4 linked regions of the Tamandua tetradactyla genome follow. The protein of the gene in region 3 purifies or fractionates together with the protein of the main gene of each other region. This does not show direct contact. Links are inferred from orthologs where the notes say so. Each region holds a gene or a part of one and is shown on either strand. Other genes may lie near its edges.

Region 1 (7,451 bases), on a different chromosome or scaffold from region 3:
CTCCACTCCCCCAGTAGCTGTTCTGGAGGAGGAAAGGTGAGGGCAGCAAGGCTGTCGAGGCTGGTGGCGGAGGAGCACGATGAAGGCGGGGGAAGAGGGCACCGTGGTGGTTGGAGAGCAGCCGGAGCAGGAGGGGGAGGAGGGGGGGGAAGGAGGTCGGGCGGCTCGGCTGCTGCGGGGCGTGGGCGCCGCGCGGCGGGCCGGCGGAGAAAGAGAGGGGGGGAGGAGGTCGGGCGGCTCGGCTGCTGCGGGGCGTGGGCGCTGCGCGGCGGGCCGGCGGAGAAAGAGAAGGGGGGAGGAGGTCGGGCGGCTTGGCTGCTGCGGGGCGTGGGCGCCGCGCGGCGGGCCGGCGGAGAAAGAGGGGGGGGGAGGAGGTCAGGCGGCTCGGCTGCTGCGGGGCGTGGGCGCCGCGCGGCGGGCCGGCGGAGAAAGAGAGGGGGGGAGGAGGTCGGGCGGCTGTGTTGTGTTTTTGATGTAAACTTTGTAATTCCAAATCTTGGAAACTTTTAATTAAATGTTTAAGTTCAAAGGTAATACAATGTATGATAAAGCTAATTTATAAGAGTATTTTTTACTATGGAAAATTCCTTATTTAATGTCAAATTAAAAATTTCTTTTAAAATGAACTTTAATTTTTTTAACATGATTTTGATCTGACGGGTATGATAAAACTGGGAATACAAATTGGGGATATTTTATTATTTGCAAAGAGTCAGATTTGCTTCCTAAAGGTAAAGTAGTGGAAATATTCTGCCATGGGATTTGCTTTGGCAAAAGGTTCAGAGATACAGGTAGACACTTGGTATACATTTGTGCACTGAGACTTGCCCTCTTGGAATGCCTCTACTGTCTCCATGTGAAGAAGATGGATTTAGACTTCTTGAGGAATGGATGACTACATTGTATGTGAATATATATGCCGATAAAAAACAACTTAAAAAAAGATCAAAGTGGAAGGTGGAGTTATAACAGAGAAGATAGGATTTAACAAATGAGCATGACTCCTGGATCATTATATTGATATTTCTTTTAGTCTCCAGTGTCTTGGAGCAGCCAGAAGGAAAAACCTAGAATTGTGGAATTGTAGCCCATACCAAATTCTGAAATCTGCTCTATAACTAATTGTGGTGTGCTTTGAAATGTATCGCTTTTTTATATATGTTATTTTTCACAATAAAAAAAAGTAAAAAAAAAAAAAAAAAAAAAACCCATGAGTGTAGAATGATATTCAAGAGTAAGAATTCATTTTTTCCTCAAAAAATTTTATTCAGTTAAGAAAAATATTGTAAACTTAATTGTAGATGTATTCTCAAGATGGATCAAGCATACAAAGGACAACAGAGTGTTAATGGGATGAGAAAGACAAGACTCTCTTCCCATGGAATATAAACAGGTTTATGAGACTTCCTGCTACTCCCTCATCACCCACCCACTTACCGGACATTCATCTACTAAATTGTTAATAAACATTAAGGAAGTGGGGCAAGACATTCCGTTCAGAGGCATGAAAGACCCTCCCACCTGAACCTGCAGTTTATAGATCTTACCCTTTCAACAGACTATATGTGGAGATACTACCCACCCTTTTTTAAAATTTAATTATTGGGTCATGGTTTCACCAGTTGTTTAGAGTCTGATTGTTGCTAAAAATGCTGGATGAAGGCCAAGGGCTCACATATCTAGTCTTCCTTTAACTCGGACCTAAAAAACAGTGAGGGTCAAAAGAATTGTCACCCTGACCCAAAATAATTCCACTCCAGTGAGCTTATTGGCTCTGACCTTTTCTAGGGAATGAAATAAGAAAAAAATTTATTCACAGTTTTATTTTTAAGTATTTTGCTTTTTTTCCAGTTACACTTGCACGTGATTTAAAGATTCAAAGATTCCAACAAGACTTCCCATTTCCTAAAGGCAACCACTTTAACTTTTAGCTGATTCTTTGCAATTTCCCTCCACGTTTCTAAACACCTTGTTCATGTTTCTATTGCTTGATGTTTTGGTTAGTGGTTATCTATTGACTTCTCAGTTTGGAAAATGATTCATCTCTCTTTTGCACACTCCTCTTCCCCATCTCCACTACACTTGTACACTTTGTCCTTTAATTTTTCTGATATACTTAAACCATATTTTGCATACCCTACCCAATCAGCATGATGTCATTGATATAATGGATCATTGCGATGCTCTGCGGATGTCCAGAAGGTTCATATCCTTTTCAAGCTATTTTACCATAGAGGGAAGGAGTTTTAACAGCCCGCGGGCAAAACTGGAAATAAGTATTTTTGCCTGTTCAGTGGGAAGCCAACTCTCTCTGATCCTTTCTTATGTATGGAATAGAAAAGAATACATTTGCAAAATCACTCATGCATACCGAATACCTGAAGCTGTGTTCCGCATTTCAGTAAGGATCAACCACTACTCAATTGCTCCGGTAAACAAAAACAAAAAGCAGTTTTGGTGATCTGTCTCTTTTTTTTCTCACATACCACACAGCCAATCCATCAGCAGAACTTGCGGGTTCTACTCTAAAATATATCCTGAATTTTAATTAGTTCTCAATACTTCCACTTGTTTTATTCCAAGCCAACATAACTTATCCCTGGACTAATAAAATAGCTTCCTAGCTGACATTTCTATTTCCACTCTTGAGGTTCAACAGTCTACCCATCAGAGCCACTTTGAATATGCCACTTCCCAGTTGTAAACAATCTAGTAATTCCCCATCATACTTAAAAATAAAATCATATCTCCTTACCCTATTTGTACAGAGCCTCGCCTATCTCATTCTCTTTCCTACTATTTTCTTACCCAGGTTCACTGTGCTTATCAAGGCTACTTTCTTACTCAGGCTCACTCACTGTTTCCTCCGTAGTCCCACTTAACATTCGCTCTCTTCTCAAATGTCAACTCAAAGACGTCTTGACAGACTTAAAGCAGCACGCTTTTCATCTCTTTACCCTATCGGTTGCATTATTTCCTAACATTTTAGATGGATTAATGCTTCTCTCCGTCCAATGTAAGGTTTCTTTAGAGAAGGGAATGTTAATTTACTCACTGCCGTATCCTTAACGCCTAGGAAAATGCCCGGCACTTGAGCAGGCGCCTAAAATCATACTTGATTAAATGATTTGAATTGAATTTATCCTGCTTAACAGCAGCACTTGCTTTCTGAGGTCACCTCACTTCGTTAACCATGCAAACACAGAAGGAAGCACACGGGTGAGACCTGCGTTGTCGCTTTTGAGCGCTTTGGTAGAGCTTTCGCTGAAATCCCTTGACACTCTCCTAGCTAGAGCTGGGTCTTAACATTCTCTCGCGGCGGGGAAAATGGAAGGAGTGAAAAAAAGAAAATGGGGCCTGGAGGGTGCGAAGAAGTGATCTCAGCTCTAACGATGTCCGGCTGAGAATTTACTGTTTTCAACGGCAAGGCTATGTTTATTGGGACGGCCCTGGGCCAGGGCTGCGATCCCGAAATGAAAGCCCTGGTACAGAACGACAGCAAATTGGTCAGCCATTTTCCAAAACCAGTCTGCCAGGTTACCCCGCCGACTGGGTACGCACGACAGGGGGCGGGGTTTATTGTGAGGGCCTCACTTCGGAAACCGCACCCTCAGTGGCGTCCCACGGTCCAGGATTAACAAACTGCGAAGCAAAATACAACAGTCGCAGCGAAAGCGCGCACTCGATCGCCAATGCGAGCGGAAGGAGGGAAACTGCCGCTTAGGCACACTCTGCATGTCCAATAATGATTGGCCGGAGCCCTCCTCTCTTCTTTTTTGGTATTGGCTGGACTTCCCTTCCCCGCCCATCCAATTGGTTTTTAACTAGATACTTTTGATTGGCTCCTCCTGGTGGTGGTGGGGCTAATTTTTTGTAACCCACCGTCACGGATTGGTGGATTTAAGCACCTGGCGGGTCCTTCTCGCGAAAGGGCCCGCCCCCTGGTCTCTCTGTCCTGTCTCCCGACCCGTAAGCTTTTATCCCAACTCGCGCGCCCGAATGGTTAAAAAAAAAAAAAAAAAAAAAAAAAAAAAAAGGGTGTGAGGCTCGAGCCCGCCAGCCAGGCCTCCAGCACCTCGCGCGCGCCCTCAGCGAGGACCCTCGCGAGCTGCCCTTGACTGTGCCTGCGCTGTTTCAAACTACAGAACCCGTTAGGATCTTGGGGAAACTACCGTTCCAGCTGGTTCCGGAGCCCGTGAGTGCCAGAGGGGCGAGTGGCGGTCGCGAGGTGACTCTTGCCTTTCGCGTTTATGCAGCGTGGAGACTAGAACTGGCATTTTCGAAGGACGCCGCCTTCAATAGCAGCGCTGGCGCGGGCGGGGGCTAAAACACGGGGGTCCTGAGACTGAGGAAAACGCGCCAAGTTCCCCTCTGTGGTGGAGTGGGGAAGACCCTAGCGGATCAGGGGTTTCGCAAGCGGGACCTGTTCTGCGCTCCTTTCCCTCCCAGGGCGGCCCTAGGCGGCCACCGCACTGGGGATGTAGTTGGTGCGGACGCAAAGCAGGACCGAGTGGCGGCCCAGGTTCCCGCTCTTGAGAGCGAATGGTCACTTCCCCGCGGGGAGGGCGAGCCGAACAGCCTTTCCTTGGGTCGGAGATCCAGCGGGCTCGCGGCAGGGACTCACCTGTCGCATTCAAACCCATTCGGGTTGGAATCGTCGGCGTCACCGCCGCGGACTTCGCTTTGGGTCATGACCAGGTAAGGACGGCCTGGGAAGGAGGGGCCGGTGCCCGGGCGCGGAGACAAGTTTGACTGGCGCCCGAGTGGGTCTGCTCCGGGACAGGTCCTGAGGTTTTACTGAGCTGCTAGCCAAGCCTTCAGTGCACCGGGAGGGGCGCCCCTTCCCGTCGCCGCTGGGAACTCACGAAGGCAGGTGCGGGCTGGGCATAATCAGGCCAACTCTTCTGGTGAAGGGGTCAAGCGTTTTTAAGTGAACGGTAGTGAGGGCCAAAGGCCAGCGTCCCACCTTGCCTAGTGCTTGTGCCTGAAAGGGCATAGACATCCTTTGACACGTCTCTTGTCATCTTTTCAGTGTCCTTCCTGTTCTCTAGAGTGGTGGGATAGGGAGAAGAAATGTTTTCACTCACGTTGTCCTATGGCTGTGTAATTGCCTTATTTTACCGCGCATTTTTTCCACTTCTTATTTTTTCCAGACGGGTTTAGCAAGTGACCACGTATCTGAAACCTTTGCTGAGACTATTATATATAAACTGTTATATATGTTTCTTGAAAAATAAGAATTGCGTCTGTCATCTTATAAAGAAATCAACAAAACATAACCAGTGGTACTTAGTGTTTACGCTGTCATTTGTTCAAGAACAATTAATGTTCGGTTCATTCTCTTTACTTCGAAACTTGATGTATAGTTTTAGGAGAAACATTTTAGATGGAACAACCCAGTTATAAGGAAAGCCAGGCAGCAAGATGTTATATTCTAGGTAATGCTAAGTATTTGATTATTGCTTTGAGGGAACCAGGAAGGTTGGCTTATTGATAAGGATGATGATACCTTATTTCAGATGCTTGATCATTTTTCCCTTCTATTTATTTAAAGACGATGACTTTGTTACTTAGAGAATGCAGTTTCTGTTTTGATGAAATTGGCTCCGAAGAAAATCCTTTTAAGAAAACCATTAATGTTTAGAGATCCCTGACAATTTAGCTCAGACTGGTTTGTTATATTGTAGCATTTCGTAAGTAGCATTAGGTGGTCAGGAGAATAATTTTGAGTTGGAGACAGGATGGGGAAATTGGTCAGCTGTCTAGTTCTTCGAGTTTGGGTCTCAAGAATGTGGTTTCACCATTGAGTTCAGTGTTGCAAATTCCCAGGTCAGTGGAGTGTAATGCTTACAGATGGAATTTGAATGAATTTTTTTGTGCATCTTATTAATTTGAATGTACTTTTGTAATTCGTTATTGAGGTTATGGTTTCTAAATAATTTTCTGATAATACTGCAATCACAGTTTCCCCCCAGATGCCGAAATGGAAACTTGGAATGATGTATAAAATAGTTACCATAAATGTCCCCATGCTTTTGCATATAAATGTTTTATTTTAAAACAGGAAAAGTAGGAAAGGTTGCAAAGAGAAAACCAAATCATATTTTTCCTGCTGAAAGTAGCTTTTTTAAAAAAACCATAGATTGAAAAGAGTGCTTGGAAACTGAGTAGAATATTGTGGTTTAGAACACATAAAAATTTGATATATGCAGAGTGCAAATTGTTTACACAACCTACAACTTTGCATAATTTATTACCTTTCACTGAAGTTAAGTGTAATTGAACACAAGATCTATGCCTTTTCTCATATGCAAATTATACTTTAAATATGCTTTTTAAAATCTTTATTTCATATATTAACTCACATTAACATCTGGAAAAGGCCATTGGAGGGGGGACTTGTTTATGTCCAGCACTACTTTAGAGGGCTTTAGAACTAGAGATGGTAATTGCTCAGTCAGTATTTTCTGCAGGATTTAATACATTATGAGGAAAATGTTTTTTTCTAAGTCAAATATTTTTTTTATTTTGGAAAATATTCAAACCTAGAGAATAATTGCAAGAACAGTACAATGAAGCTAGATTCAACAGTTGTCAATGTTTTGCCACATTTGTGTTCCTTGTCTCTTTATACGCATATATACATAAATGTATATACGTATTCATATACAGATTTTCATTTATTCACTTGTATATTTTACTGCTGGAATATTTTAGAGTTAAGTTACCAACATCATATTCTTGCATTTCCAAAAACTTTTAATGCTATCTCATAAAAACAAGGACATTATTTTACATACCCATAATATAATTATCGAATTCCAGAAATTTAACAGTGACACTACGCTATTTGAGGAAAATGTTTTTATTCCTTACTATTAGTTTACCATAGGTTCTACTAAATGTTGTATTTGTGATGGGGATCCTTAATCTAATAGTAGGCTGCTAGGTTCAGTATCTGATATTCAGAAAGTCTGAGGACAATATGGCAAGGTCCTTCATTTAGGCAGCAAACGTTGAGTGCCTGTTACTGCTGGGCATTAGTTTTTCATATATGAAGTTCTAACCTTGCCAGATTTGTTTTCAAAATTGGTGGTTTTGTTGCCTGCAACTGATAACTGAAATCTAATGAAGCGCTTTCTCTGTGATTAACAGATATAGTTGGTGATTCCACCTTTCCCGTAGAAATTAATTGTCAACTTTTGGGATTTGAAGAGAAAATGCCTGGTGTCATACCTAGTGAAAGTAATGGGCTTTCAAGAGGTAGTCCATCAAAGAAAAACAGACTTTCCTTGAAGTTTTTCCAGAAAAAGGAAACTAAAAGAGCTTTGGATTTCACAGATTCTCAAGAAAATGAAGAAAAAGCTTCTGAATATAGAGGCTCTGAAATGTATGTATCCTGTTTTAAGTATATTTATGTACTTTTTTTAATTCCTCATCAAATGAAGAAG
Region 2 (8,196 bases), on a different chromosome or scaffold from region 3:
AAAGTGTAAATTGTATTTTACCTCAAAACATAAATTAACCTGCTTAAAGAATTTGCAGCAGTCAAAATTATGGTGAATTTTTAACTACTTTAGAATAAAATAACATCCAAGTACTTTATACTGCTTTATATCTAAAAATGCTTACAACTTCTCACAAAAATAGTCTGAGGCAACTATTTTTTCTTTTATTCTTTAACAGACATGTTCAACATATATGCAACATTCTAAAAACTTTTAAGTTTCACAGACTTTCAGAGATTCAAATACTGTGGTCCCCTTTTCTTTAATGTGAAGGTTTATTCAGTTTAAAAAAAAGCATGGTAGACAACTTAATAGTTTCACCAAATTGAAAGTAGTACAAAAGTTTTAAGATGCTACAGAACTACACATCGTACCTAATATCATTAAAAATAGAAGACAGTATTTTCTTCAGCAAATAAACCAGCATACTAGTATGCTGTTAATGCATACCTTTTAATGTATACTGTCATTCACAGATTATTTACAACTTCTATTGTGTGAAGAGAATTAGAATGTAAATTTTCTGCAAAACTGGAAAAAAGCAATACAAAATCTGTGAAAGCCTGTTTTATATCATACAAAAGTAAGCCAGTTTTTCTCTTCAAATACTAAATATTTTATGCAGTGATCTTTTAGACACATTATAGTAATTCTTGAGGATGTTTTAATGCTGGAGGTAAGTTTACAGGTCTTGATTCTTCATCAAGGAGTACTAAATCTTCTATTTCACTACCCCTATATTTTCTTTTACATATTTTCACCACCACCTTTTTCTTGAGAAATAGCTTCAATGCTTCTCTTGATGCAACTGCTTTTGCATTTTCTTTGCTTTTTCCACAGCCAGTGCCCAAATACACAGACTTGCACCTCAACTCACAAACAATACTTTCTTGAGAACTCAAATTCTGAGGCAAATCTGCCAGTTCTTTTAGTGGGACAAAAAACACATCCAGTGTCGCTTTCAGAGCCTCAATAGCTGCATTTAGGAGTTCTCCATGATTCACAGTGGGACTAAAGCCACCAACAGCTACCAACTTCCAAGCCACTGTTTTATACAGTCTATTGAAAAAAGGCTGCTTCTGTTTTACATCTTCATTCGTTAACTTGCAACAAGAGAATTTGACTGAACTCTCACTTGACTGTGAAGTACTTTTAGAAGGCAACTGGGATGTGCTAGTTTGAGAACTACTCTTAGAAGCCAGCTGGGATACACTTGCTAAGGAAGTGCTTTTGGAAACCAGAGATCCACTGCTCTGGGAGCTGCTCTTGGAAGCTAATAGCGATGCAGCTACCTGGGAAGTGCTTTTAGAAGTCAGTAGCGATGTATTTGTTGAGGAGCTGTTCTTGGAAGTTATTAAGGATGTGCCTGATGAGGAGCTGTTTTTAGAAACGGATGATGAAATACTTGCCTCTGAACTAGTTTTGGTAGTTAACCCACTTGAAGCTGTCTCTGAACTAGGATTAGAAGACAACAGTGGCAACTCTATTTCTGAGCTTCCTGAAGAGCCCAACAAGGGTACCTGAATCTCTGAACTGCTTTGAGAAACTGAGACTGAAGAGCCTTCCAAAGCACTCTTTTTAGGTGAAACACTGGGTTGTATGGAATCACTGGACTGGGTCACATGACTATTCACATTCGATTTCAACAAAGAAACAAGTGATGCTGAACCATGCTTATCTGAAGCTTCTGATTCAGAAACTTTATCAGATCCTGCTGTTGTTACCTGAGAGGAAATGCTGCTGCTGCTTTGGCAGGAACCAGATCGATCCCCATCACTTGTAGAGCTATTCTGACCACGAGTTGAGTTCCCTCTACTCTCTGATTTGGTGGAGGACCCCGTACAAGCTGAACTGTTTTCCTGCTTAGCTGATGCATGTTCTGTTTTGGCAGAAGTTTTTGTATGATCCTGCTCAACCGCAGAACTGGTTTTCCCTTCTATGACTCGCTTTTTGGATGGCTCCTCTATCCCTTCTAAAAAGAAAAAAAAAATACAGATTTGTTTTAAACTTTACCAAACACATATCAGCTAAATTTTATAAGACAGATACTTATTAAAATGAAAGTATGAGGTGGAAATATTTCCAGATTAATAGTTTCTTTAAGAAATGTGGAATAACTTCATTAATATCTTAAAATGGTGCTGAATAACATGTTATTAATTTCTAATATTCAATATTAACAGCATAAGACACATAGTCGACATTTCAAAATAAAAACAATCGAACTATCAAATTCAGATCCTAAAACAAACACAAATATATTTTAAGTTTAACATTCCAACAAGATTAATAACATTATGTAAATTAGGGCTTGTTAAAAAAGAAAAGTCATAATTCCTAATTATATTAAGCTTATGTTCCAAACTCCTATGTATGTTCACATCTATGATCTGCTAACCATTGCTACTCGATATCCCTCTTTTCTTCACCTTGGCAACCAGTTCGTCTCTTGTGGTATGGATTGGAGCATCTGTCACTTTAATGCCTTCAGCCATACTAAGTATTTTATCCATAACTTTTTGAGGGTACCTGAAAAAGAGGGAAAAGTTTACTTTTAACAAGTGTTTTTTTCTAAGCTACTACTTCCGGTGTGCAAAAACAGGCCCCAAGAACTGCATTTCCTGGCCTCAATCAAGCGTACCAACCGCCGGAAAGTTTCTTTTAAAGACAGCACATAAACAAATGCCCCATGGTCCGGGAGGCGGGGGCCCCGCTTTACAAATCTTTAAATCTATTGTCCACCCACAAGACCTCTGTCAGCTCAACCCCAACAACTCTACAAAAAGCCCCCTACACGACGGGGCACCTATGCACTATTAATCACCTCTGCTTTCTCGCAGAAACGCCCTTCTCACCCTTCGAGGCCGGCCGGGTCTCGCGGATTCTCGCGCCTCGCTTCCCCTCCCCTCTGAAGGCCGGGGATAGAAGACAAAAGTGGGGTGGGGGAGCTGGTTAGCGCGGTTTGCCCACTCACCGGCAGCCGAGGAAGACGTGGTTTGCCCAGGCCATGGAAAAGGAGATGAGCTGCTGCATCTGCCGATTGCGAGTCCCGCTCTCGGCGTCCGCAGCTTCATCCGTGCTCGTGGAGTCCACACCACCAGTGGGAACCAGGTCCCCGGCGTTGCGGAGCAAAAACTCGCGGCGGTGGCGCCAGTGTTTGTCAGTCTCGCCGTCGCAGCGCAGCGCCTCCACCCAGGCGGCGACCCGCGGGTTCTGGCTCAGGAACTCCGACACCTCCTGCGCCATGTTGGGCCTGCAGGTCGCGGAGGCCGCGAGCAGACGCTGCACCGAGAGAGAGGCGGGGTGCGCGGCGGCGAGCGGCTCTGTTACTGCGGCCTGCACGGGCGGCCCTCCCAAGAACGCCCCTGGGGAGGCCCAAACACCAAACACCAAAAAAAAAAAAAAAAAAAAAACAGCGCGGGGAGCAGCTGAACCGCCCACTTCCGCCTGCCGCCGACTGCGTCCCTTTTATAACCTCGCTGTGGCGCGCCCGCGCGTCCTTCCGGCGCGAGCCGGCTCTCCCAGGACGCTTTGCGGCGCCCGCGACGCCGCGGCCCCAACGGGCCGGGGGCGGGAGGGGGCAGGGGGAGGCGGGCGCTGGGCGCCTCCCGCCCGTCGAGGCCCGGCTGCGAGTGGGTTTTCGGCCGGGCGACCTGCACTTGCGGAAACCTCCGCGTTCCGGCTTGGCTTTGTGACGCCGCGCTCCCTCCCGGCCGGCTTCCTTCACCACCCCGCGCGCCGCCGGAACCAGAGGCGAAAAAGCCTGGGCCGGGCAGGATGAAGTCCTCGTGTGGCTGGAGGCTCTTTTAATTTCCTGACCGACCTTGAGCCGCGGTACGAAAGCGAGGTCTCTGGGTCTCCGCCCTAAGACGCTTGTTTTTGATCCGTTCCCAAATAAACAAAGCCTAGCCTCCATGTTTTGATTATGGTTGAAGGCAGCTTCTCGCACTGTTTGGGATGTACACAAGCGAAGCGTTCTGAGGCCCGTCTCAGAGGGGGTTAGGAATGGGGGGGGTGCGTATTAGCTGCAACAGTAACAAAATTCCTATGTTACTCCACTTCGATTTACTCCGAGGAGTCCTTTTCTCCGCAGGGGTTAGGGTTGCTTTCCGCAGTTTTTTAGGTCTCTCAACCCAAGCAGTGCCTGCTTCCTTTTTTTTTTTTTGGCTCAATAGCTACAAAACTGCACAAACCCACAGTCGTGTTACCTCCAACTGAGCAAAGAGCCAAGAACCAGCGTGGAAATTTGACTTGTTTATTTCTGCCGCCCCAAACTTTTCCCCTTCTTGTATCTATTTTTTTTTCCTCTCCGTTCTTTACAGTTGATTATTGTTAGGTTTCCAATGATAGGTATATGCGTACTTTAAAATTAATACGATCTAATAAATGATAAAATTATGAATATAAAATAAATTTTCCTTTCCATAGTTTTTGGGGGGCTTTGCTGTAAAAATGTCTGGATCAGAATAATCAAGGAAAAAAAGGTCACTTTGGATTAGAGTAGGTAAAATTTTTTTAAAAAGATGTGATTTGAATGCATCCTGAAATAATCAAAATGCATTTACTGTATGGAAATAACACTACTGCTCATTTTCTGGCTATTCTAAAAGAAACTATAAACATAGGCACAAAGAAATTTTGATTGCTTGGGGTTTTGTTTCTAGTTTTGCTATTCTTACCTTCTTTTCACTGTTAATCGCTAAAAATTTAGAGGGACGAAAGAATTGCAAAAACCTGGCTCTGTAAAAGGTTGGGGGGATTTCATAGTTTTTCATTTCATGAGTTATTTGGCAAGGTGTGAGGTGAGGCAACAAGTAAAATAACTTTTGGTTATATAGATGGATGCTATTTGTCATTTTAAACCAACAATTTTTCTTTTCTTGTTGCCTTATAACCTTCTAACCATAAATTCATGGGGTTCTGTCACCTGTAAGGAAGAGCAAATGCTTCTAAGGCAATTTCTAAATAAGTTTTAAAAGTTATAATACAGTAAATACAGTCTAAAAGCTGGAGTACTTCTAAGTGCCAGGTGTTTGACAGAAAACGTACCTGTTTTTTGTTTGTTTGTTTTTTGTTTTTCATGGTAATTCAGATTTTATTGCTTGTTAATTTTGTCATTCCAAACCATTTTAAGTAAACAGACATTGAGAAACTGTACCAGGAGTGTTAAAAAGATGATGGCAACATCAGCGAAAATGCGTGTTTGACAAAAGGTAATGGAAGGCACCACTGCCACCATCACACCCAGAAATTTATATATATCATATAAAAAGAGTAAAAACAGTTCATTGGCGTTTAACTAGCATTCTTGGTGACCATTTATTAACCACAATAAGGCTGAACAATTTTATAATCTTTGGAGCAAAACAATATTTCCTTCCACTACTAGAGTGAGCTTTTACAGTTTCTTTGAAAAGCAAGCAAACCATTAAATATAACAAAACCTATACAGCACAACTGAATACGAAAGTTGGCATATTCCAGTGATCCTGATTTTAATGTTTCTATCATATTAATTCAAGAAATAAACTATGATTCACCTTTTGAAAATGAGGTTAAGCTTCTTTGTTATATTTATACTCACTTTATAATTCAAAAGTTTTAACTGAAGTCAATGTTAGCCCAGTAAAAACTGTGCCTACAACTCAAGGAACTGCTCTTATGCTAAGGTAACCTCTTTATAAGTTACTTTTTTTTTTAAAAAACTCGGACTCAACCTGCACAGGCATGACATGAGGAACTAACACTTCTGTTCTCTGGATACCACGGCAGTAGTTCTAGTGTAGTTGTAGCTGGGAAGCATATACAGAATCACTGTAAATCACACATAAGCATCAATAACTTTTCCTAACAGATTAAAAATACACCAATATTTTCCTCTATTAATGATTTCCTCAAAAATCAAGCAGGTTCTACAACTCAACGTTTGAAAGATTTCTATGTCCATTATCACAAAAATGCTCAGGTTGAGAAATATATTTGTATAGTTAAAAAAAGACTCAGAAAAGCAGCAAGACTTGAAGTGTGGGTTTTTTGTTAAACCACTCAGAAGCCTTCAGTTTACCAGCTAAAAACATAATAGCAGATAAATAGGAATTTATTAGAATCATTGTCTCCAACACTAAAAAATTAAATATTAAGGCATCTTTTACTCCATCATAGTATATATAGCAAAGAGTAATGTTTTAAATAAGAACCATCATTTCTATTCAAAATGCTTCCTAATATATTCAACAGATTTTTTATTTTTATATTATCCTATTTCATATATGATAGAAAGAGCGCGTGATTAAACATCTTGACCCAAACCGAGAGAAATGTATAAACGGATATCCACTTACTAAAGGGAGGCAGTTCATACTTGAAAAATAAAAAGAAATTCAAAGAGTATTATGTATAAAGTTCATATACTGAGATGCAAATTTTTCTGAAGCAATTTATGCTTAAGTAATTAAGAGAAACAAGAGATGAAGACTTCATTTAAGATGCAAAGCTTATCACTATGGATCATAGTGCTGAATAACTGTTTGCTCAGTATTTTGCTCCATTGGGATGAGAGTTTATAAAAGGTTTCATACTACTTTAAAACTATATCACATCCTCTAGAATAAGGTCATATAAATTAGAACTTATTATCTATTATTCCCCATATTTGTCCAGTTACAGATCTTCACAGGCTTCATAAAGTATACTAAACTACCATTTTCACCTTTTATTAAGGCAAGTTTGTGAAAATAACACAGATCGTTTTCTGAACTTTTAACTTACAACGCTTTTTACACAAGGAACATTAAAAAAAAAATGTCTTATAAAAAGCCACTTCAATACCAGAAAAGAGTATTCAAAGATTTTGAATCCAATTTCCTTTTTTAAAGGATGCACTTTCCTTGTCTCAAATTCCAAGCATTATTCATCATCTTTAGAACCAGTTTTGTTTAAATGCTCAATATAAAAAAGGAAAGATTTACATTCCAGTAAAATCTAAAGGTTGCAGGGCCAGGGTAGGGGTGGGATGGAAGATATAAATTTCATTATTTGATAGCAATGATTATAACAATTTTTTGAAAACTGGAAGACAAATAGTATATATCTTAACCACATCAACCCAGTTCCATTCTCGAGGAAGTTCCCCTTTGTGATGTGTTTTATCTGCCAGCTTGTGTTTCTGGGCTTTTGAAAGTTGTTCAAGTTGTTCTATTTTGTCTTTTCTTACTGGATGGGACTGTATTAGGAGTTTCAACTGAGATGATATTGCTTATGGTTGTCGCAGAACCATAGTGGGTTGGTGTATCTCCATGAACTGTTCTTTATTGTCTTTGGCATATTCAACAACATATACGTCATAGCAGTTCCAAGATTAACTTCAACTGCTTCCTGTAGCTGGGCTAATATACTATGAAAACAAACACACTACGGAAGAAAAGTAAAAGGGACGGGAAAGCAGAAAACAATGAAAATGAACCACTACTCACATAGTGTTGTTAAACAGCATTCATAGATTTAATTGGAGGTATTTGGGGATATGTTTCTGTTCAGGAAATCTCTGTTAAGAAGGCTTTGGGATCACCATTTTCACCTCCCAGAAACTTTCATCTCCTTCATAAATCAAACGGAATGCTTCTAGTTCCACCTCCTGGTCCCCACTGGCACCGAGCTCAGGGCATTTGCGACAACGAAGAGAAAGGAAAGCAATGGTCAGGGGCTCGATGGCGGGCACACCCATCGCACCGGCAGTCGGGTACATGAGTTTGTTTTGTTTTGCTTTGATTCCTTAAAACTTTTGCATTGCATAAGAAGATTCAAGGTATAGACCATGGATCACAAAGTTAAGAATATCATATATATATATATATATATATATATATATTCTTGTAAGGGCCTTCCCACCACTCAAACTCCTTTCTGGCCTGGGGAAGTTGTTGTTCAGATGTTCAGAGAGAAAAGGTGAGAAGAGACCTTAGGTTATGTGCTGGATCGAATAGTAGCCTCCCAAAATTCATGTCCACCTGGAATATCGGAATGTGACCTTCTTTGGAGATTGGGTGTTTGAAATGTAATCAAGTGTAGATGAGGTCATCCTGGATTAGGTGAGCCTTAAGTCTAATGTGACTAGTATCCTCATAAGAAGAGGAAAATTTGGACACAGAAACACAGACACAGGGGGATGATGGCCAT
Region 3 (8,282 bases):
AAATATCCCAGAACTAAAGGCTATAAATTCCCCTCTTGTAAGGGCCCATGGAGTTCACTTAACTGAACAAAGACCCATACCAAGGCACATCACCATGAAATTTCAGGGGTTAAAAAAAAAAATTCCTAAAAACTTGGGAGGAGGTCACTTACCAATAAAGAAGAAATACAATGGCTTTGGCTTTCAACAGAAGCCAGAAAATAACAGTGCTATAACTTCAAAACTTTGAATAAAAATAACTTTTAGACTAGAATCTTATGTGATGAATAAGCAGACTTATTCTTGTACACGAAGGGCAGCATTATTCTTGTTATGTGAAGATAATCCCCGTCATCCACATGCTGGATTACTGGCTGCTTTCAAGAACTGTCCCAGTTAGTCTACAACAATAGAACTATTTTTTCACTTAGGTTTGTTTTCTAGGGTTGTACTATCTTAGAAATAACAACAACTGTATATCCCATCAGACTTTATCCAGGCTTTTTCACTGACCTCAAAATTTTCTATTGCAGGCTTTTTCTGACCCCCATCCTGCCCCCACTCCCACCCAGATGACTTAGGACAACCTCCTACTCACTGCAGCAAGACAAGAGTGAAATCGCCCCAAATCAGCTAATTTAACTGTTTACCTTTTCCAATGTTTTCTCCATTTTTATGGCTGAATTCATAATACCCTAAAAAGTACAGAAAGCTCTTACAACAAAATAAAAAGGAAAATGAGATTTTTTTAGTTTGTTTGGTTTTTTCTCTTTACAAGAGATTTTTAAATTCACTAAATAATCTTTATTTGCATGACCAACCAAAAGTCATAACTGCACAGTATTTATATTCTTTTAAAAAAAATTGATGGACTTACAAAGGCAGAGACATCACAAAAAATGATCAAGACTTTATTTTTTCATTAATTCAACACTGCTAAAATGCTGGAGACAAAAAGATAATTCTTATCTTGAAATGAAAGGGAAAAGATAAAATATGGAAGAGCAAAAGAGAACAAAGAACAAAACAACTGAGCACAATTCTAGACTATTTAGCATAAAGTAAGTTATAATATAGTTGAGGCTAAGGAAAATTACAAAAACTGAACACAAGTTAGCTCTGATGAGCCTCCTGAAAGCCAAAGTATAAAAAGAAGCAGGATGACTTACAAAACAATCATGCTCTAATAAAAAGCAGTTATTTGCTTAAAACAAAGAAAAAGTCCTAGCACTACACTCTTTAGATGTTGTCTCTAAGGTCCCTATTTTATAAGAAGTAAATTAGAAACAGTATCTTGGACAGCAATGGAACAAGATTTTTTCCGTGTTGTCCCTTCTTATATACCCAATCCTAGGTAAAAATCAAGGTGCAAAATATTAATAGTTCTGTGAAGAAATGTTGACAAGAAGCTAAAGTAACATAATGCAAAAAGTATAATGATTTCAAGTGATGGGTTTATTTCTGTCATTGGGTTTATTCTAGGTTTCTACAAATGTAATATTTTGTTTCCCTGCTGGACTCTAAGCTTCTCAAGGCTTATGTTGTCTGCTTCCATTTAATAATATGTCATGCAGATATTATTTGTATTGCTAGTCTTCCCTGCTACACTGTAAATGCAATGAGGACAGGGACAATATGTCTTGATCAGGACTATATCCCCAGCTCCGAGCAAAGAATCACTCCATAGTATTTGCTGAATGGATTAAAAAAAGAAAACACAACCAAGAAGTATGTAAGCAGAGGGGTAGGTCTTAAAATGGCAGTGATTTGGGGTGGTAAAACTGGTTCCAACAAAAGCTGGTTGACCTTAAGTAAGTTAATTTCTCTGACATACAATGTTTTCATCTGTAAAATAGGAAAAGTTAGTATATCATCTATTTCAGAGTTATTACAAGCATTAAATACGTAAATAAAATATGTAAGGTATTATAAGCATTAAATATGTAAATAAAAGATGTAAAAAAAAAAGCTCAATAAATATTAATTCCTGTACTTTCTCTCAAGACCTCCATCTTAAAATCATCAGTACCTTCCAAGAATAATTTTTTTTCAATAAAAGCCCAATACAGCACATTCGCACTTTTCTCTGGGAAAGAAAACAAAAAAAAACAAAATTTTATCTCTTTAATCTTTAAAATGGGAGGAGGGTGGAACAACTTCTGGTTATTTTCAAAATATTACAAAAGCAAGAACAATGTAAAGAATTAATCTTGAAACAACTACTGCTAAGAAATAGGGGGTTGGGGGAACCGTCAATTTTTTTTTTAAAGGATGAAAAGCTATTAATACAATTTAACACTTTTAGAAAAATATTTTGCAATTGCTTCTAAGTTTAAGCCTTACCCTTTCCTTTATAAGTGGAACATTAAGTACATTCACTCCACCCTAAGTCGTTCCTTCGTGACATGACAACTTCCCCGACTCCACTCGTCCCTCAGTTTTCTCCTCACATTCTGAGCTTAATCTTATACTTCGCTGTTTCCCCCGTTTCACCACTTACATACGATATGAACACACGAAGTTCTGTAATTCCTATAATTACCACACCCCTGTCAGCCGCTTCAGGCCCATGTTGTTATGACATTTGTAAACTGCAGTCCCGCTCACCCCACCCCAACCTCCGGCTCCGGCTATAACTTGTGAATTCCCAAGATGGTCCCTTCCTGTCTCGGTGAGGATTTTTACACGCCACCCCGACACTTTCCTGCCTCTGTCACAGTACTCTGCGGCGCCCACCCCCGCCCCTCGCCGGCTCGCGCCCAGCCGCGGCGCAAGCTCCGCGCGCGCCTACTCCCCGCCCCGCTGACTCTGCGCCCCGCAGTCCCCGTGCCGCTTCCAGCTCCGCGGCCGCGCCGCCCCGCCTCGACCGGCGCTCCTGACGGCGATCACACTAGCACTCCCCACCCCCACCCTCCCCTCAGCCGGCCGCGCGGCCGTTAGGACAGCCGGGCTCGTGACGCACGGACACGCCAGGAGTGCCCGGCCTCAGAGACCCGAGCTCGAGACCCAGCCGGCGCCCGACCTCGTCCCCGGGCCTCACCCGGGTCCCTACGAGAACTGCCCGGGTTCGCCTGCGGGAGGGGGAGGGGCCGGGACTACAGGGTCCCCGCACTCACCAGGCTCAAGGCAACCGATCCCGGTGCCAGTGGTGGAGCCGCACGCTCGCCGGCCGTGCCTCTCCTGCGCAACCCTGAGGAGCTGGTCTCGCGCCTCAGCGGTGCTCACCAGGCCTCTCTCTCCGCCGCCGCGCACCGAGGAGCAAGACCCTGATCAGCCGGCGTTCGCAGCGCGCTTGCGTGAAGGGACCAGCCCACGCGCCTGCGCGGGTCCCACCACTTCCACCGCTGCAGAGGCTGCCGGGAGATGTAGTCTGCCTAAGATCTTACTTGACCCACCACGCCATTAGTCCCGAATCAGTACGGAGTTGGGGGTCCGGGAAGGATCTCGCTGAGGACGAGGTTTGTAGTCAATGGAAAAGGTTGGAGAATCGTAGAAGAGTGACAGTGAGACGGTACTTCTTACGCGGAATTGCAAAATCATGTTTACAAACCTGTCTTCACTAAGCTCTTCGAAGGGCGGATAGAGCCCCACTCACTCCTTTATATCTAGCCTCCAACATGGTAGATACCTAATACATGTTTACTGTACGAATGATGGAATGATTGAAGCACGGGGGAGTATTTTAAAAATATTAAAAGTGAGTGGCCTCACGTCTAAGAAGGCGTTCGCTTGCTGCACGTTTGCAGGAATTGTGGATTCCATTTTTAATTCTCTTCCATCCTCTTTACCTGATAATGTATGAATAAATGATTTGTTTTTTAAATTAAGAAACTAAGTGAAACAAAACACTGGTTTTACTCTCACTAAGTACTCTCAAGCGATAATTTGAGGCAAATAATTATTAGTTAAATGTGGGGAAGCAGTGGCTCCAAAAGAAAAAATGAAGCCACCTCAGCAGAGGTACGAAATAGAAAGTCTCACAGATGACGTGGTTTATCAAATCAATTTTATGGAAACGCCGAGAAACTAAGGAAAAGAGATGGATGGTGTAGGTTAGCACACTTATAAGTGGTAGAGGGTGGGCACTGGGGAAACCTGCACTATCTGCGGTTCGTATGTCCAGGACAACGTCCGTATCTCCCGGATCTGTCTCTGCCACGTGAGCCTTCCCACTGACAATATATTTACGTAGATAAGAACTGAAGTTTGAACAAGGGAGCTGGGGCAAGACAACGTGTTCTATGGGAGACACTTAGGGATTTGTATGCCTGCTCAAACTAGGGTAAGAGCAGATCACCTTATTCCAGTCAGATACTTGGATTGTTCAAAGGTGGACTTCAGTCTTTGTGAAGGCTAGTTCATTTCCAGTTCGCTCTTACACCCAGCTATGGTATAGCTCCCAAGTGTTGCAACCAAACGTCTGGGGTATTACCAGGGCCTCTCCTTGGCCCCACATACCCACCTCTTTAAAACAGCTCAAAACTCAGTTTTTTGGTCACTTCTTTCAAAATTAGTAGGCACATCAAGTGGAAAAGAGGTGGCAAATGTCAGACACACCTCTCATGACTTCCCTTTACTTCAGATTTTGGACCCACAATTTTTTACATTAGTAGCTTTTCAGTGCCTTTATGTTTTTTCTTTTAAACTTTTTTTTTAATATAACATGCATACAAACGAAAGAAAAGCAATGATTTTCAAAGTACGCTTCAACAAGTAGTTACAGAACAAATTTCAGTGTTTGTTATGGTTTACCATTCCACTATTTCAGATTTTTCCTTCTAGCAGCTCCAAAACACTGGAAGCTAGAAGAAACCACCCCCTTTTCTTTCTTTTTTTTTTTTTTTTTTGTGAAAAATAACATATAAACAAAAAAGCAATAAATTTCAAAGTACGTTGCAACAGTTAGTCGTAGAACAAATTTCAGAGTGTGGTATGGGTTACAATATCGCAATTTTAGGTTTTTACTGCTAGCTGCTCTAAGATACTGGAGACTAAAAGAAATAACAATATTTTAATTCAGCAATCATACTCATTGGTTAAACCTGACCTCTGTATAACTCCATCATCACCTTTGACCTATCTCCCACTCCTTAGGGATATTTGGGCTATGCCCATTCTAACTTTTTCATGTTGGAAGGGGCTGTCAATAATATGGGATGGGGGATGGAACTAGTTGATGTTCTGGAGATGCTGGCCCCTCTGCATATCAGGACTTATCTTGTCCAGGGACCTATCTGGAAGTTGTAGGTTTCTGGAAAGTTACCCTAGTGCTTGGAAGCTTTGTAGAATCTTATATAATGCCCTAGGTATTCTTTAGGATTGCTGGAATGTTTTGGGTTGGGGGTTGGCAAGGTATGGTAGGCAGCAATGTCTAAACTGAAGTTTGCATAAGAGTGGCCTCCAGAAGTAGGTCACTATTTGAACTCTCTCAGCCACTCATACCTTATTTGTTCCACTTCTTTTCCCTTTTTTGGTCAGGATGGCATTGTTGATCCCACAATACCACGGCCAGACTCATGCTGGCAGGAAGACTTTCACCCCTGGATGTCATGTCCCACTTGGGGGCAGGGTGGGGGATCAATGATTTCACTTGCAGAGTTAGGCTTAGAGAGAGAAAGGTCACATCTAAGCAACAAAACACCTTTGGAGGTGACTCTTAGGCATACCTATAGATAGGTTAAGTTTCTCCACTACATACATAAGTTTCACAAGAGCAAGCCTCAAGATCAAGGGCTTGGCCTATTGATTTGGGTGTCCCTACTGTTTGACACAGTATCAGGGGTTTTCCTGGTGGTAAAGTTTAATAGTTTCATATTTTTTCTCTCATCCCTCAGGGGACTTTGCCAATACTTTTGATCATCTGCTTAATATACTCTGGGATGTATCCAGGCATTACATTAAGCTATACAGGATTAAAGGCCCTCATTCTTATCCTGGGCTCCCTCTGTTGGATTGTTTAAATGATCTATCCAGACAGGTTGAGTTAGATTATGTGCTTCGGAAAATTTAGGTTCTGGACAAAATAAACCTTTCTTCGTTTGGTCTCAAAGAGTAGATGAGGTTCTAAAGTATAGACAATGTCTTCCTTACCCCTGTATTCTGAATTACCTTAATCCTGACCTGATCGGCTTCATTCTAATCTCTAAATACCAGGTTATACATATATAAAACAGCTTCTCAAAATCCAGAAATAGTAATTACCACTCTAGACTAAATGTAACTTCTATAAGAGCTTACAATCTAGACCCCTGTTTCCTTACAAACCTTAATGTTTTTATATTGTGTCCAGTTATTCTCAGTGTTGGTCCAAAACAACAGTATGCTATTGCTAGAAGAATTTCTATATATATTTTAATTTTACAAAAGTATCATACATATATGGTCTTACATAAACTACTATCTCTTGTACTATATCTTTTTGCATTTTGAGAAACTGAAAAATTATAGAACACTTTTGCTATTACAAATAATGCTGCTATGAACATTCTTATACATCCCTACTTATGTACAAGGAAAGTACCAGATCCTAGAATATTACGTCTTTAACTTTATTAGATGTGTTATACAGAATTCTGAGGTGGTCCCCAATTACTCCAGCTCCTGGTGTTGCCTTTTATAATCCTCAGGTTTTGAGTGAGAACCAGACAAAGATGATGGGATGTCACTCCTGTGATTACATTTCACTGTGTAACACTTTGCCTTAGCAGATTGCTTGAGACTTTCCTGCTGGCCTTAAAGAAACAATCTGCACTGCCATGGAGAAGACCACATAGCAGGGACCCAGGTCACTGGGTCCTCAGGGAAGCCTCCAGCTGGCAACCAGTAAGAAGCTGGAGACCTCATTCATACAACCACAAGGAAATGAGTTCCGCAAACAACCTGAGCGCTTGAAAGCAGATTCTTCACTGGTCAAGCCTTCAGATGAAAACACAATCAAGCCATCACTTTGACTGCAACCTTGAGGGACCCTCAGCAGAGGACTCAGCTAAGCTGCATATGGACTTCTGATATACAAAAACTGTGAAATAATAAATGTGTTTAAGCCACTAAATTTGTGGCAGTTTGATACACAGCAGTAGAAAACAAATGCATTAGGTATTGCTGGATTATTTCACAGTGTGGTTGTACCAATTTATACTCCCACAAGCAATATATGATTGTCTATGATTGTCTTTTCTACACATTCTTGCTGACACTAGCAAATGTCTATTTTTATTTTTGCCAATCTGATGGCAGAATAAATAATACATTTGTGTTATTACTATAACATAAAAACATGAAAAATAGTTGCTTCCTTTAAATTATGTGCTACTTTGCTATATGAATGCTATTTAAAAAATAGCAATAGGACTAGTTAAATGTAGTAACTAGAAGGGCTAATTAAGTAAATAATATATGTGACAAAAATATAACAATTTTTATAGTTTGTCCTATTGTATAGCAATTTAATTCTTTATTGCTTATTTAAATTTTGTAGGTATATTATTATGTATTCTTAATATATATAAGTGTAATACTTTTAAAAAGAGTGTAAATATAATAGAGCTAATTTAACAGATATTACCTATATTTAATAAAAAATAACAATGGCATGTTTCTATCCCATGAGGCAGTGGGATATTTTTGCTCTTTCTGTTTTCTTTTCCATTAATACTTCTCTGAACTGCTCAGAGCCTTTAGGACATCATTATTTTCTTTTATGTATCAGTAAAACTGAATACAGTCAAATGAAAAATTTTGACTTGCAGCTCTTCTCTAATGGCTACATTGTACTGATTCTGATGTCAAGACAGCAAGCTAAATATGCTCACCACAAAGGTGTTAGAACACAGAATACTTAGGATTTTACTTACTTATACAGCAGATTTATAAACTTGAAGGAATTAGTCTCCAGCTCTTCAAAATGTTCAGCCACTTTGTATGTAAAAGCTTGCTTTATCAAACCCGATGTTTGTCAATCAGATCCTTTACATCTATAAATTATAAATTAATGTAGCCTATCTGTGTCTAAAATTCCCATCACTCTGAAGGACACTGAATGTCAACCTCTCTTCCCCAGGGAAAATGATTTTGAAGCAAAAAGGTAATCAGAACTTGTAAAATAGAAGCTAAATTCCAAATAAATTTATACTTTTAGTAAAGAAACTTGGAAATTTCTGTTTAACTTGGTTGTCCTTTCCTGGGGACATTTCTTGTTTCCAAAAAAATTAGTCCTTTTTTTTTTTTTGGTTGTATGAATATTTGTCCCATGTAACATTAAACAACTGAGGTGCAGTCATTCCATCTTTTTCTAGGCTCTTGAT
Region 4 (7,931 bases), on a different chromosome or scaffold from region 3:
GCTGCCAGTGATTCTGGGCTTCTCCTGTCACGTGGCAGCATCTGCTGTCTCTCCCTTCTCTTCCAGGTTTCACTGCTTCCAGGCTTTGGGGGCTTCCTCTGTTTCTGTGTCCTTCTCTCAGCTTCTGTGTCCTTCTCTCTGCATTTCGTCCTCTCATGAAGGACTCCAGTAAGAGGATTAAGAATCACCTGGGGCCCGCCTCCGCTGAAATAACCTAATCAAAAGGTCCCCCCTACAATAGGTTCAAACCCACAGGAATAGATTAACTTTAAGAACATAATCTTCTGAGGTCCATTCAGTTTCAAACTACCATAGCATCTTCAAATAAATTGAAGAGAGACACTTCCTAACTCTTTCTGTAAGGCCATGCTTACCTAGATCCTGAAGTCCGATTAAAGATATCACAAGCAGAAAAAATGATATACGAGTATCCCTTATGAATACACACACAAAAATCCGCCACAAAACTGTAGCAAAGCAAGTCCAACAGCACATTAAAACGATTATACAACATGATCAAGTGGGACTTCTCCCAGCATTTCAAGGGTGGTTCAACGTAAGAAAATCAATGTAATATACCACATTAACGGGATGAAGGAAAAAACCCACACTATTTTCTCGATTGATGCAGAGAAGACATTTGACAAAAACCAACACCTTTGTTGATGAATACACTCAGAAAGTTAGGAATAGAAAGAACTTCCTCAACATGATAAAGCACCTATGAAAAACAGCAAACATACGCAATGGTGAAAAACCCAACGCTTCCCTGAAAGGGAAGGAAGATTGAGATGCCTGCTTTCACTTTGCAATTCAGTATTGTCATAGAAGTGTTAGCTACAGAAGCTAGTCAAGAAAAAGAAAGAAAAGGTATCCAATTTGGAAGGTAAGAAGTAAAAGTATCCCTATTTATAAATCGCATGATCCTGTTATACAGAAAATCCCAAAGAAACTTTAAGAAAGCTACTAAAGCTGATGAGTGAGTTCAACAAAGTGGCAGGGCACAAGATTAAAACCCAGGAAACAGGGGTGTTCTAGATACCAGCAATGAACAAGGAAGAAATGTACCTACCGCAAACTATGGACCATAGTTAACAGTATATCTTAATATTCTTTCATCAACAGTTAGACATGGACCACACCAATACTAGGGGTCAATAACAGGAAGGAGGTAAGGAGTATGGGATGTTTTGGGTATACTTTTTATTTTTATTTCTTTTTCTGGAGTAATGAAAATGTTCTAAAACTGATCATGGTGATGAATGCACAACTATGTGATGATACTGTGAGCCACTGATTATATACTTTGGATGTTTATATGGTGTGTGAATATATCTCAACAAAATTGCATCACAAAAAAAGGAGGGCCAAAGACTTGATTAGACGTTTCACCAAAGAAATATAAACAGCCAACAAGCATACAAAAAGATGTTCAATATCATCAGCCATTAGGGAAGTGCAAATCAAAACCACAATGAGATACCACTTCACACCCACTAGAATGGCTACTATTCATGAAACGGAAAATAACAAGTGTTGGCGAGGATGTGGAGAAATAGGAACCCTCATGCACTGCTGGTGGGAAAGTTAAATAGAACAGCTGCTGTGGAAAACAGTTTAGCTGTTCCTCACAAAGTACAGAAGTACCATGTAACCTGGCAATCCCATTTCCAGGTACATACCCAAGAGAATTAAAAGCAGAGACTAGAACAGTATTTGAACCCAATGTTCAGAGCAGGATTATTCACAAGAGCTAAAGGTGGAAGCAACCCAAGTGTCCATCAGCAGGTGAATGGATAAAAAACGTGGTCTATCCATACTCTGGAATATGACTCAGCCTTAAAAAGGAACCGAGTTCTGACACAATCTACAACATGGGTGAACCTGGAAGATACGTGTTGAATAAAATAAGACAGAGGGATTGTATGAGACCTTCAAATGAAGTCATTCAAAAAGCATCTTCATGGAAACAGGAAGTCGATTCTATATGTCTCCAGGGAGGTGGGGAAGGGAAATATGGGGCTAGTGCATAAAGAGTGCAGGATTACTGTTTGAAGTGGTGAGAAAGTTATGGAAATGATGGTGGCAAGGGCAGCACAACATGGAGAATGGATTCATCCCAGCGAGTGGTATACTTGAGAGTGGTTAAGAACAGAAAGTTTACATTGTATGTTACCACAATTTAAAAGAGAGGGAAAGACTAAAGAGATGACAACACATGATCCTGAACTGATCTAAAACTGGAGAAAATGCCCAAGAGGACAATACTGGGACAGCTGAAAAACTTGGAATATAGACTGTGCACTTTATGTCAATGTTAAATTTCCTGAATTTGATAACTGTGCTTAAGGTGGTTATATAAGTAAATGATCTTTGTTTGGAAATACACACAGAATTATTCTGGGCCATGAACCCCACCCCACCCCCAAAAAAAAGAAAAGAAAAAGAAATAAATATGCACAGAATTACTAAGTATTCAGGGAGCCTGATGCACGCAACCTACTTTCAAATGTTTATGACATAGAGTGATATAACAAATGCGGCAAAAAGTTAAATGTTGGTAAATCTGGGTACGAAAGGTATTGGATTTCTCTGCATTGTTTCAGTATTATTTTTGCAACTGTCCTGTAAGTTTGAAATTATTTCAAAATTAAGTTAAAAAAAACAAAACAAAACAGGAAGGACCATACTGCTTCCTCCACGTGGGATAGGGGCTGGGATCTGCTGGGATCCACTGTCCACATACTTGCCCCCCACACCTTCCCCCGCCCAGGGCGCGTCCTCCTACGCAGGACCCACAGCCTCTTAAGGGAATCCTGCTTTGGTGATGAAGGCCCAGGCTGCAGAGACAGGGAAGATCCCACCTTTGTTTGCTGATTAGCTGTGTAGTTTTGGGCAAGTTGCTTGTCCTCTCTGAGCTGTGCTTCTTTCTTTATAAAGGGGAAGCACTGATAGACACTTTAAGGCTTGTGCTAAGTGGTCATTATGTCTGGCAGGTGATGCAAGTGGATGTCTGGGGTGGGGGTGGGAGAGACATTTTTAAAAAGCTAATTCTTATTTTTACCACCTGCTAGGCACTGTACTGTACAAGTACTAACCCATTTTATCCTCAAAACATCCCAGTGAGGTAGATATTATCGTTCTTACCATTTTATATACAGGAAACTGAGGCGCAAGAAGGCGGAATTCCCCAAGACCACACAGCCAGTACATGCATCAGCAAGGGTTTAAACCCAGGCAGCTGGCTCCAGAGTCTGCGCTGTGCGGGAAGGACACACAGAAACTTCCAGTGGGGATCCTGGGATGGGAGGGGCTGTCAACCTAGAGAGGAGGCAATTCCCATTTGTGCCTGGATAAGCTCAGCGGGCTTCGTAGGGGCTCTGGGAGGATGCCAAGGAAGTAAGCGAGCAGAGTCTGGTGCACCCTGTGGGAGGGCAGTTTAGAGGGGAGGTGGGCGCTGGGCTTCTGAAGGACCTGTGCCTGCGGATGCAGCTACCTTTCTCTCCCGGTCTGTCCGTTCCCAGGCTGCACCAGAAAAAGGGAGGAGCTAATTTCACTGCAAGTTCCATACCTGCAGCATTTCCCCCTGCACCTGATGTGGCTGCTTTTTGGGAGAGAGGGGAAGCTGGGGCAGTGGCCACAGTCCCAGGGGTCTGGGCTTCGCCACTCACTTGCCTGGCCTTGACAAGGCACCGTACAACTCCCACTGCCGACAGAGACCGGGGGACCCTCAGTTTACAGATGGGGAAACTGAGGCCCAGAACCAAGGTCCGCGATGCACCCCGCTTAATAGACCCCTTTCACCATGGGGGATGGGAACTAGGGTCACTCCCGTTTCTCAGACCAGGAGCCTGAGGCGCAGGGAGAGGAAATCATTTGCTCGGGGTCTTACAGCCCGTCGAGAGGCCGAACCCCCCACCCCCACGACTCCGACTCTCCGCTTCTAGGGTCGGTGCTTTGTTTGGGGCGGGGGGCACCCAAACAGCCGCGGAAGTGGTTACCGGCCGATTCGCCTGGGACGGCAGGAGGAGCTTCGGAGGCGGGGGCTGGAAGGCGGCCGGCGACCCTGCGGCAGACGGCGCGCGGACAAAGGGCAGGGTCGGGAAGAGGGTAGGGGGCTCCGGCCGCCACGGCCGCGCAGCTGCGCTGCTTCTCCGCCGGCTACCGTGACCCGCCCCGGCTTGGCTGCTCCGCGAGCCTCCCGCTCCCGCCCCGCCCCCAGCCCAGGCGCGCCCCCGCGCCGCGCGCGCCCGCCGCCCCCGGGACGTGACTCGTAGAACGTTCGCTTCCCGCAGCCGAGGCGGCGGCAGGAGGGGCACCCCGGACAATGCGTGGCCAGTTTCGATGACCGCCGCCATCTAGGTCTGGAGCTGGGCCCAGTGCTCCCGGTCCCGCAGTTTGAGAAGTTTCCGCTGGTTTCAAAAGTTTCCTTAAGCGTAGGGGGGCTTCCCTCCGGGGGTTCTCCATTCAGGCACTTACTTAGCCACCCGTTCGCCCTTCAGGGGTCCTCGCCGCCCTCCTCCGCCGCCGATTAAGTGATTGACGTGGTAACCAAGGCGACCGACCGATTGACAGGCATCCTTACCAACCGACTTCCGGGAGTTCCCGTCTGGGCCCGCCCGACGCGGGGCTGGAGACCCAATTAAAGAAGTGGAGGCGCCAAAGGGGGCGGTCACGGGGCAGCGTAGGTTGTGGCGGTTCCCCGGTGATTGCGCGCTGAGGGCTGAGGCGATTACGGGTACTCGGGCGATGCCTTGACACGGTCCAGCGGAGGCGTCGAACGCGTGAGCGCACCCCTGCGGAGGGAGCCCCTAGGCCCTGGAGGCGTCGCGGCGTCGAGACAGGCTGCTGTTGGCGGGTGCTTCCCCGAAGCCCCTCGGCGAGTGGGGGAGGGGCGGCGGACGTCGCTCGGGGGGCCCGCCTCCCCCTCTGCGCCTGCGCGGGTCTCTCGGCCGGCTGGGTCCTCCCGCCTGCGCATGTCCGTAACGCGCGGAGCCGCGGTGGCTGGTGGCTCTGCGCGTGCGCTCGGAGGAACCCGCTGAGGAGCGGCGCTGGCGGACGTAGGGCGGGCGGCCGGCCCGTGACGTCTTGAGGAGCGCTTTAAAGTGCAGGCCGGGCCGGGCGTCTGAGGGTCCGGCCGGGAGTCGGTCCGAGTCCCCGCGGCGGTCCCCCGCGGCATGAGGCGCTGCCGGCGCCCCTGCCCCCCGGGACGCGGAGAAGAAGGCGGCGGCGGAGGAAGACCAGCGGCCGCCACCGCTGCCTGACCCGCTGCCCCTGAGGCCTGGTCCCGCGCTCGGCTCCCCTCGACGTCCCCCGCCGGCTCCTCCGGCCACGCATGGGGGCCCGGCGCTGAGGACCCCCTCCCCTCCGGGGGTGCCGGGGCGCGTCCCCCAAGGGCCATGCCCGGCCGCCCCGCCCGCCGCGGAGGACCCTAGAGCAGCGGCGCGGGGGCCATGGCGGCCGCCAGCGGCTACACGGACCTTCGGGAGAAGCTGAAGTCCATGACGTCCCGAGACAACTACAAGGCAGGCAGCCGGGAGGCGGCCGCCGCTGCCGCTGCCGCTGTGGCCGCTGCTGCCGCCGCCGCGGCCGCGGCCGAGCCCTACCCGGCACCCGGGGCCAAGCGCAAGTACCCGGAGGACTCGGACCCCGAGCGCAGCGACTACGAGGAGCAGCAGCTGCAAAAGGAAGAGGAGGCGCGGAAGGTGAAGAGCGGCATCCGCCAGATGCGCCTCTTCAGCCAGGACGAGTGCGCCAAGATCGAGGCCCGCATCGACGAGGTGGTGTCCCGCGCCGAGAAGGGGTTGTACAACGAGCACACGGTGGACCGGGCCCCGCTGCGCAACAAGTACTTCTTCGGCGAGGGCTACACGTACGGCGCCCAGCTGCAGAAGCGCGGGCCCGGCCAGGAGCGCCTCTACCCGCCGGGCGACGTGGATGAGATCCCCGAGTGGGTTCACCAGCTGGTGATCCAGAAGCTGGTGGAGCACCGCGTCATCCCCGAGGGCTTCGTCAACAGCGCCGTCATCAACGACTACCAGCCCGGCGGCTGCATCGTGTCCCACGTAGATCCCATCCACATCTTCGAGCGCCCCATCGTGTCCGTGTCCTTCTTCAGCGACTCCGCGCTCTGCTTCGGCTGCAAGTTCCAGTTCAAGCCTATTCGGGTGTCAGAACCTGTGCTTTCCCTGCCCGTGCGTAGGGGGAGCGTGACTGTGCTCAGGTAACCTACCTGGGAGGAGGGGGCTGCCTCGTACCTTCTGCCCTAGCTCCCCGCCCTCTGTCCCGGGAGGCTGCAGCAGCAGCCATTCGGAGCCCAGGCTTGCGATCACGGTCCTGATCCATTCTAAGTTCTTCTGTTTGTAGGTGATGGGGAATGGCCACGGCCAGAGGCCCTGACCAGAAAGCCTGGTCAGGGACCCGATCTAGAGTTCTATATCCCCGAGGCAGGTTTGACACAGTCCTGGACCAGACTGAGAATTCATCCAAAGTCATCTTTCCAGAAGTCAGCCTGACTGGATATCAGAAGGCTAACAAATTTCTTTTCGTGTGTGATTTTTTTTTTCTAGGCAAGCCACTTTTCCATGCTTGGGCCTCCACTTCCAAATCTGTGTTGTATTTTAAACAACAGGCGAGTCACGCTTACGATCCGAAAGTCTTTCAGATGTTACCATTCTTTGTCTTTTTAACAGAGAAAATGCTCATGGATTCCTTAGCAGAGAAAATACTCCCAGGTGAGGTTCCCTGAGAGGGCTTAATTGCTGCACAGTCTCCTCTCCCAAGAGAGGAAGTTACTTTCCTGGAATCCCACAAAGCAGTGGTTGGGCCAGGAATAGGTAGGGTTGAGTATATTTAAAGAATTCTACCCCCTTGGCTGTGGAACAACCTATAAGGTCCTTCATAAAAATGGGTTCCATTTAGTCAGGACCGACTAAAACAAAATAGCTGTTTTTTTGGCCTGACAGTTATGTCGGTAACAGAACTTGGTTTCCTGGTCTATTTGGGGTCCCAGACCCTGCAGAGAATTAGCTCGGTCCTGGCCCAAGAAAAAGAATGCTTTCTGGGAACACCTTTCTTTGGTTAAATGAAGCAGAAAATTTATTTGAAAGCTGTTGCCTTATTCCAGCCCTGAAACAGGTAAACTAGGAGCATACTTAAGTAATCCCCCAAACCTCTTAGGAGGACTAGACTGCAGCTGTTCAGAGTGGCATGGTTGACCACGGAATTAAAGTACAGGATCAGGACACACTGGGGATCTGTTCTGAGCAGCTTAACCTCTGAAGTACTGTCAGTTCAGTGGGCCCTGTGGGGAGAAGCGGTCCCTGGAGCCTTCTTGATACTGGGGGCAGGTCCTCGATCTCCTTTGAGTTGGGCAGCCGAGGCTGCTTTCCTGTCGGGCTGGCAGCAGAACCTGTGATGTCTGAGGCCTCCTAATGGAAAGTTGGTGGCAGCAGAGGCAGCACTTAGGCTTCCTTATGCCTCTGAAACACGGCAGATGTCCACCTCAGGAGCTCGAGGGCCACTTACCAGTCATTCAGGCTTCAGAGCCCTTCCCTCATGTCTGCGTCCCAAGTCCGTGTCTTGGCAGACCTCATTAGGGTGGGATTCCCAGGACAGACCCTCCCAGTGGCTAGCTTTGTCAGGCATCTTGGCGTCTGACTGCATCGCAGGGCTGTTGATGCTAAGAGGAGCTCACACAAGGACTGTTTGGTTTCTTAACGGAATATTAATTTTCCACCCTCAGGATAGTGGTTGGGAACTGTAGCAGTGATCAGGTGTGTAATGGGGAGATGGGGAGAGGCATGTGTGAATTTGAGGGACCCCCACCCTGCAGAGCACTCACTTTTGTACTGAAGAGCAGGAGTTCTAAGTTCTTAAAATGCTGGTCTGTTAGCGATCAGCAACAGGATTGCATCATCAGGAAAATTCTC

What was found.
Region 1: the proteins of KPNA1 (region 3) and USP1 purify together in Homo sapiens (co-immunoprecipitation; 6 studies listed by BioGRID and IntAct, with this or other methods). This does not show direct contact. The link is inferred for Tamandua tetradactyla from reciprocal best matches to the Homo sapiens genes KPNA1 and USP1.
Region 2: the proteins of KPNA1 (region 3) and CDKN2AIP purify together in Homo sapiens (co-immunoprecipitation; 4 studies listed by BioGRID and IntAct, with this or other methods). This does not show direct contact. The link is inferred for Tamandua tetradactyla from reciprocal best matches to the Homo sapiens genes KPNA1 and CDKN2AIP.
Region 4: the proteins of KPNA1 (region 3) and ALKBH5 purify together in Homo sapiens (co-immunoprecipitation; 3 studies listed by BioGRID and IntAct, with this or other methods). This does not show direct contact. The link is inferred for Tamandua tetradactyla from reciprocal best matches to the Homo sapiens genes KPNA1 and ALKBH5.

The regions. Positions count from the first base shown.
Region 1 is NC_135328.1:157,562,003-157,569,453, reverse strand, and holds the start of USP1 (ubiquitin carboxyl-terminal hydrolase 1), read left to right. Parts: upstream 1-4,044; 5' UTR 4,045-4,195; exon of another isoform or gene 4,196-4,698; intron 4,699-7,155; 5' UTR 7,156-7,220; coding exon 7,221-7,390; intron 7,391-7,451. UniProt on the Homo sapiens protein: Negative regulator of DNA damage repair which specifically deubiquitinates monoubiquitinated FANCD2. Also involved in PCNA-mediated translesion synthesis (TLS) by deubiquitinating monoubiquitinated PCNA.
Region 2 is NC_135352.1:29,459,127-29,467,322, forward strand, and holds CDKN2AIP (CDKN2A-interacting protein), read right to left. Parts: upstream 3,435-8,196; 5' UTR 3,268-3,434; coding exon 2,996-3,267; intron 2,551-2,995; coding exon 2,420-2,550; intron 1,994-2,419; coding exon 663-1,993; 3' UTR 172-662; downstream 1-171. UniProt on the Homo sapiens protein: Regulates DNA damage response in a dose-dependent manner through a number of signaling pathways involved in cell proliferation, apoptosis and senescence.
Region 3 is NC_135336.1:22,986,746-22,995,027, reverse strand, and holds the start of KPNA1 (importin subunit alpha-5), read right to left. Parts: upstream 3,284-8,282; 5' UTR 3,096-3,283; intron 1-3,095. UniProt on the Homo sapiens protein: Functions in nuclear protein import as an adapter protein for nuclear receptor KPNB1. Binds specifically and directly to substrates containing either a simple or bipartite NLS motif.
Region 4 is NC_135332.1:1,831,844-1,839,774, forward strand, and holds the start of ALKBH5 (RNA demethylase ALKBH5), read left to right. Parts: upstream 1-4,562; 5' UTR 4,563-5,453; coding exon 5,454-6,223; intron 6,224-7,931.